Linked DNA regions of Oryzias latipes. The main gene of each other region encodes a partner of the protein of the gene in region 2 in a complex. Links are inferred from orthologs where the notes say so. Each region holds a gene or a part of one and is shown on either strand. Other genes may lie near its edges.

Region 1 (4,081 bases), on a different chromosome or scaffold from region 2:
TCAATCAATATTGACTTACCTGCTCTTCATTGTCTGATCTCTCTGAGGGCTGCTCCTCTTCATCAGCAGGTTTCTCTCCGTCAGACTCTGCCGCCGTAGCCGAAGCTCCCGTCTTCTCGTCTTCGTCCTCGTCTTCGTCGTCGCTGCTGGAGTCCATGACGATGGCTTTGGACTTGCTTCCTGTTCTGGACTTCTTGGGGCTGCAGGAGCTGCGCTCTCTGGGCCTGCTCTTCTTCTTGGAGTCCTCACTGGTCAGCTTCTTCTTGGACCTCCTCCTCTTCTTCACAGGAAGGCGCTGAAGGAGGAAGCAGGAGGTGCTGAGAGGAGCAGCTGAAGGAGGAAGGTGGCTCCTCTCCAGAGGAGCCGGGTCCTCCTTGGGGTCCCAGGTCTGGACTCACCTTGCCGCTGTTCTTGGGCGCCAGCAGGAAGCTGAGGATCCTGTGGATGAGGTCGGCGTGGGTGCCCTTCTTCTCCAGGTCCAGCACGGTGCAGACCACCTTCAGCTTGCTGTTGCTCAGGTTGGAGCTCCTGTGGAGACGAGCGGCTGTGGTTTCTGCCAGAGACCAGCGGACCTTCTTCCGGCTCTCACTCACTTCAGCAGCTTGTCCCGTTTCCGGTGGAACTGCTCGCTGTCCGCCTGGAAGGGGAACCCGTTGAAGAGACGCAGGTTCCTCTTCATGGTGGACACCTGGAAGGGATTCGGTCAGCACAACGTTCTCAGCGGACCGGGCCGCCTGTGGGCTTTACCTTCCCGGGTCGGTCGTACAGGATGGAATGGAGCGGCTTCAGGTCTGCTGGCTTCATCCTGCTGATCTGGTGGGCGGTGCGAGGAATGTCCCCCAGCTTGTCTCCAGTACCTGCAGGGCGGGAATCGAACCTGTGGTCAGCTGCTGGTCCACAGTGGTCGGGCTGGCTCCGGCCGCTCACCGTCTCCGATCTTCAGCTTCTCCTTCTGCTTGGGGGCTTGGAGGTCCAGCCTCTCCACCGTCTTCTTGGCCCGCTTCCCCTGGAGGACGTCGCCCCCCCCGGCTGCAGCAGAGCAGACGTTCAGCAGCAGGTACGCAGGTGAGCTCACCTGAATAGCTCCGTCGTCCTCACAGGACTCCGTGGATCCGCTCCGGTCCGGACCCGCCTCCTCACGGTCCTCCTCAGACGCCGCGGAGCTGCCCATGGCGGCGCGAGTCCTGCAGATGATGACATCACCGTTACAAACAATGACATCACACACAGCCTTTGATTTGAGCTCACCGGAACGGACAGAACCAGAGCCGTTCCAGGAGAACTTCTACTCTGTAGAAGAAAACGCTTTGGTTCTGATCCGCGTGTGGTCGCGTTCCAACCGGGTTAGAAACACGATCGGCGGTAAAATTCCATGAAACCGTTTGGTCGTCTTCATCCTGAACATTGCAGACGTTACACCAGCGGGTCACGTTCAAGTCTCTGCTGAGGAGCTTCAGACTAACGTTTTCCAAAGGGAACTTCCATCAAGTGCATGGGCGGGGTCAAAGGTCACAGACACCGCTAACCTGAAACGTTTCCTTATTCCAGGGTAGAATGACAGGACCGGCTGCAGAACCCAGTTCTCCCGTTGGCGGGTCAGTTAAGGCGGAACCTTAAACACCTCTGATCCGGACCCAGAAGACACGGATGTAAAGAACTGGAGGATTTAGACGGATCAGTCGTGATTTTCACTAACATCAGTCCGGACGATCCTTTATTCCAGGATCCGTAGTTTTAGGAGGACGAACTCTGCAGTCCGGACCATCGTTGATGTTTTTATGCATTAAAGTTCATCTGTTGATCCGATTCCAGAGTCGTCTTTTACTGATGAGGTCCTTTTTAGACAAAACCCAAAAAGCTGTGTTGTTTTGTGGGACACAGTTTCTGCAGAGCTCATCAGAAATTCTGTTGTGGGCAGGAACGCTTAAGCCCACCCCCACATCCCATCATCCCTCCGTTAACTCTCTCCTGCTAGCTTACAGCCCCTCACGACCCAACATTAGCAGTGTAACAGCAGCATCAGAGCCATCCAGCCGTCCGGTTCTGATCCAGATTCCAGCTCAGACCAGGAAAACAGAGACGACCATGAATCGGTTGGTCTGCAGGTGGATGATCGGAAAGGGGCGGAGCTTTGAGACTGCGGCCCCGCCCATTGTAGCTCCTACCTCACACCTACAAGCGTTTTCAAACAGTCTTTTTTTTCATCTGCTCCTGATTCACAGCGACTTGGAAACAGAAAAATCCATTTATATCTTAATGTTCTTTATGTCTCCATCATCAAAAACAGCGTTTTTCATCAGAGGGGTTTTCATCCACACAGTGGCTGCATGTATGTCCGTCATCTGTTATTGATAAAGGAAAGGACTCCATTTGGGCCATTCCTACAGACTCCCTACTTTCAGGCGCCACGCGCTCAGTTTCAGGGCGTGCACGTGGGTAGGTGCGCTTAAACAAAAGAAGAAAACTAAGCATAAAGTAGAAAAGCTCAGATCCTAGCCGCGCGCCGCCGGTTAGTTCCCCATTGAGCATGCGCAGAAGAGCTCAGTTCGAAACAAACAATCGTTTGAGCGGCGCGCGCGCGCTGCACGCACTGACTTAACTGCCGTGTGACGCGAACGGCGGCAGTTCGGAGACACGTATAGTAACGGCACGAATCCCGCGAGCTGTGGAAACGTTCACCGTTTCATGAAGACCCGCGCGCGGCTTACCTGTCACTGCGCCCGTTTGATTTCACGATGGCGGTTTCTTTCGAGGGCGGGGCTTACAGCGGCCGCTCTGTTCATTGGACAGTCTTCTTTTTCTGGTTCAGGCGGGTTGGTCCCGCCCCCTACCGGTCTGGAGGACCAGAGGAAGTTTCTTTTTGCTTACATTTTAATTTACTTTATTTATTTTCTTTTATTGAAAAAACACTTGAGGTTTACAGTATTGTGGCAAATAATTCAACACGTTACAATTACAACAGGAATAGAAAAATGTAAACAACATTAAAAAAGTTTAATACAGAAAAATACTTAAAAAGATAAAAAGATTAAAATAAAATAAAATGAGGGGCTCACATGGATATCGTAATGATCAATAACTTAGGAGATTACCTCTGATACTTTGAAGTTCCATCGTTTATTTTCCATGACGTTAACGGATGAAAAAAAAGAGCAGACTTCTTCATGATTTTAAGGAATCGACATTTATGTTTAGAGAATTTACCCAAAAAATTACAACATTTAGAATAAGTTCTGTGTTTTTGTTTTCTAAAATAAACCCAAAAATAATGTCCTTAATAGAAAAATTCTGCTAAACGTGGAATCTTGGGGAAAAGCCAATAATGTAAATTATTCCAAATGACATTAGAAGGAAAACATTCAGAGAAAAGTTGCTCAGTTGTTTCATCTCCACATGAAGAAAACAACAGGTTTCAGGAATTCCAAACTGTTTTCTTAGTAATTCCTTGGAAGGGTAAATACCTGAAAAGGTGTTAAAGTGGACTTCCTTGGCTTTAGGAGGGATGGGGGGGGGGGGGGGGGGGGGGGGTTGAAATATTTAGTTCCTATTTGTTTATTTTCTGAATTATTAAAATATTGGGTTAAATAGTCAGGATTTGAGATGCAGGGAAAATATGTTTCATTCAAACATTCTCTGATGTGGTGGTTGGGGGGTTTGGACGTTGCTGTGTTGTGTCCATTAACCAGAAGCGTGGAGACAGCAGGACGTCTGTAGATGACATCATGAAACAGATCAGAGACTGATTTACAACATTTTGAGGGACGGCATTAATAATGTTTTCAAAATCTTTTCTATTTGAATCATATTTAGCTGTGAAATCATCCAAAGACATGCGAGTAGCATTGTATAGGTAACCCTTGTTCTATCCTAGACACTTTAACGTTGGGAGTGGGGTCATCTAGACCCACTAGACAGTGCTCTGAACCTTTTTTCTTCAATGATTTGTGATCTTCACTGGTGTCCATGGATTACAGGAAATCTTTCCACCTTTATCCACCTTTGTCATGGTAGGAGAACACCTCAATGGAAGGGGGGGGGGGGTCATCTAAGATAGCACAAGGGTTAATTAGATGCATTAAGG
Region 2 (3,649 bases):
ATGAATGCACGCTTGGACTCACAGGAAATCTGTTGAACAGGTCTGTAAACATCTGAGAGGTCAGAGGGCTCTTCCTCCTGCTCAGGAAAGAGACCAGAGCTTCTCTGAAGACACCGGTGACCCGCTCCACGTCCACTTGGCCCATGAACGGCAGCTAAACAGAGAGGGACACATGTCAGGGTTTCTTCACACCTAGCAGGGCTGCAAAATTTCCTTTAGGTTTAACATTTATTTCTTTATAGTCTACAATCTATACTTTCTGGTTAAAAAGGTTTTTTACATTTTCATAAAATAATTCTTCTCAAATTTACAGTCTGGGTTTTTCATTCTCTTTAATACAATCCTGATCTGACCCCATAACAACCAAGCTACTATTTTTGTCAAATGGATCTAGTTTTATCCAAAAGAAATTCTGTTTGACTGTTGAGTCATAAACTCTGATAATAGGATTGATTATATTATTGTTCTTTCAAGACTTTCAGAAGGTTTCATTTTGTTCTCTTTTCTTCATTTGTGAATAAAAGCTTTTCCGTTGAAAATGTCTTTTCTTCACCCATTTTCCAAAAGCGTATGTCAGACAGCTTTTGTTAAACAGATTCTTTTTGCAAAAAGTTGTTCAGAAAAACTACGCTTATTGTTTTTGCAGATTATTAGCATTGGTTTCATGATGTAACAAGTAAATAAATAAAAAAATAATCGAACATCAATTTTGGGATTTTCTCTTTAATGCAAAGATGTCCAATCTTTTTGCAAAGAGGGCCGATTTGGAGAGGTGAAAATAATTAAATCATCTGTATAATATAGTATAATATAGATATATAATATAGAATTTAGTCAATCACAATCAAGAAACTGTACAACCAGATTTTCCAAAGCGCTGTGGGCCGCATAGTATTCATTTGGTGAAGGGAGTCAGTGGGTTGGTGAAAATTTGAATGCGGGTCGCATTTGGCTCATGGGCCGGACTTTGGACATGCCTGCTTTAATGCATTTTACCTCTTGTCGTAGTTTTGACCTGCAATGCCATCCTTTCTGGGAAAAGTGCTAAAGAAATAAGCTTTACTTACTTACTAAATGTTTTTGAACTAAAGGCTTTCCACCTCAACAAATGAACATTTAAAATATACTAAATGGATTTGTTTTAAAGCAACAACAAATACTAAAGTAAAGGAGAAGATTCCTGTGAAGATGACAGGTGAACCAAAAGGAGGCCAAGTAATCCAGGACACTTCATGACCCAATAAAAATCCAGGAACAGACCTGACTGCTGAGCACCCAAGACACTCAGCAGGTATGAACGGCCTTAGTTTTGACCCCGAGGTAAAGCGAAACCTGCAGTTAATTTACTTTTGTTTTAGATTAAAATGAAAACAGAAATAAAATATTTATTTATTTATTTTATAAGAGTATCGGTAAAATACCGGATCAAAAAGCAGTATCAATAAGAGTAGTAGTACCGTTAAAACCTTAACGATACCCATCCCTACTCGAATGATCTGAGCAAGGCAACAACATGAAAGGAAGTCAAATAATAAACCTACATTGTGTCCTGTGGGTTTCTGAGCCTCTTTGGCTTCGACAGGAAGAGCTCCTCGCAGAAGTTTCACCAAATACAGGCATGCACTGAGGAAAGGAGAGGAACACGATCAACATGGAGTCTAACTCTAACTTCAATTTATACTTTCTGTCTCTTTTTACCACAGGCCTATTTTTTTAAACCTTTCCAAATGACAGTGGAGACAGGATTCTACCTGAAGTAGTAGAGACTCAGCGAGGAGTCGGACAGTTTCTGGCATTTGGTCATCAGCTTCTCCAGCAGGTCATGCAGCTCCCCCTGCCTGTCACCTGCGGTTCTGCAGTAACTTTTAGACCTACAGAGCTGGTTCCTGATAGAAAAACATGTTTGTGCCCTTTAATCAACTTCATCCCATTCAAAATACAAATGTGATCAATGAATGAAGCTTAGGGGAAAAAAAAGGAGAACAAATGTTTGACATTTAAGTTCAGACTACAAGAAACTCTGCTGATAGATCAAACTTTCAAACTTTATTTATAAAATAGCGCTTCTCATGCACTTTGTGCAGCTCGAAGCGCTTTAACACTAAAAACAGTAAACACACAACATTACAATAAAAACCCCAACCCACCCTTCACCCTTCCCACACCCCTCCATTAAACCACATGACCCATGGCTCCCACGTACAATGAAATATGACTATGTAACTGTAAAAGAATAAATAAATAAATAAATAAACAAGTATGGCTTAGCTCTGCTGTGAGGAAACAGTATCTGGGAATCCTTTCATACCAGGAGCCAGCCCGGCCACCGGAACATCGCCACAGTGCCCACCCAGACCGGGACAACACCGGGGTCCCCCTCACAGCCAAAAGCTGTAAAATTAGACCCCAGCCGCCCCAGCAAGGGCAACAACTGCAGCAACAACCGCTGACCAAGCCGGCAAGCCCTGGAGGAAAAGATCCCCTCAAGAAACACTGGGGCTAAAATCATAAGATGCTAAAATTAAAAACATAAAAAAGAAAAAACATAAAATTGAAAATAAGATGCATAAAATTAAAATAAATACATAAATAAAATAGCCTATACTAAAACTAATAGAATAAATTAGCAGTTAAAATCAACTAAAAGCTAAATTAAAAAGGTGGGTCTTGAGCCTCTTCTTAAAAACCTCTACTGTCTCTGCGGCCCTGAGGCTCTCCGGAAGGCCGTTCCACAGGCGAGGACCGTGATGGCAGAACGAAGCCTCACCATAAGTTTTGGTCCTCACCTTGGGAACAACTAAGAGGCCAGTACCGGAAGACCTCAAGGTCCGCGAGGGCTCATATTTTAAAAGAATATCATTTAAATAAGAAGGCCCAAGACCATAAAAACATTTATAAACCATTAAAAGAATTTTAAAATCAATCCTGAAACGCACAGGGAGCCAATGCAGCGATTTTAAAACCGGTGTAATGTGTTCCCGCCCTCTGGTTCTCGTCAGAACTCGTGCCGCTGAGTTCTGTAGAAGTTGTAAGTTTGAAAGAGACTTTTTGGGTAAACCAGAGAGCAGGGCATTACAGTAATCTAAACGACTGAAAATAAAAGCATGCATTAGCACTTCTGTGCTGGCAAGAGAGAGGAACGGGCGGACTCTGGCAATGTTTTTGAGATGATAAAATCCTGTCTTAACGACATTTTTAATGTGTGGGATAAAATTTAGCTCAGAGTCAAAAAGTACGCCCAGGTTTCTCACACATTGAGAAGGTTTAAAATTATGAAGATGTGGTAAAATCATCTCTCTCTTGTCTTCAGAACCGATGATTAAAACTTCAGTTTTGTCCTGGTTGAGCTGTAAGAAATTTTCTGCCATCCACAACTTTATATCTAAAATGCAGTTTAAAAGAGTGTTGACAGGTTCCAGGTCATCAGGAGACACGGCGATGTAAAGCTGTGTATCGTCAGCATAGCTGTGAAAGTCAACGCCATGTCTCCTGATGACCTCCCCAAGAGGCAACATATACAAATTAAAAAGTATTGGCCCTAAAATTGACCCTTGGGGAACCCCACAGCTTATTTCGTGGATTCCTGAAGAGCACATATCCATACTTACATAAAAGTGTCGATCTGTCAGGTAAGAGTAAAACCACTTAA

Evidence for each region. The genes of interacting proteins can lie anywhere in the genome.
Region 1: mybbp1a (region 2) and dek share a complex: the UniProt entries of both Homo sapiens proteins name them as parts of the B-WICH complex. The link is inferred for Oryzias latipes from reciprocal best matches to the Homo sapiens genes MYBBP1A and DEK.

Annotation. Positions count from the first base shown.
Region 1 is NC_019874.2:32,321,369-32,325,449, reverse strand, and holds the start of dek (protein DEK), read right to left. Parts: upstream 2,805-4,081; 5' UTR 2,709-2,804; intron 1,807-2,708; exon of another isoform or gene 1,549-1,806; intron 1,483-1,548; exon of another isoform or gene 1,249-1,482; intron 1,185-1,248; 5' UTR 1,172-1,184; coding exon 1,099-1,171; intron 1,066-1,098; exon of another isoform or gene 1,030-1,065; coding exon 928-1,029; intron 858-927; coding exon 748-857; intron 689-747; coding exon 594-688; intron 529-593; coding exon 399-528; intron 296-398; coding exon 20-295; intron 1-19. UniProt on the Homo sapiens protein: Involved in chromatin organization.
Region 2 is NC_019872.2:24,964,287-24,967,935, forward strand, and holds part of mybbp1a (myb-binding protein 1A), read right to left. Parts: intron 1,887-3,649; coding exon 1,752-1,886; intron 1,624-1,751; coding exon 1,542-1,623; intron 155-1,541; coding exon 23-154; intron 1-22. UniProt on the Homo sapiens protein: May activate or repress transcription via interactions with sequence specific DNA-binding proteins. Repression may be mediated at least in part by histone deacetylase activity (HDAC activity).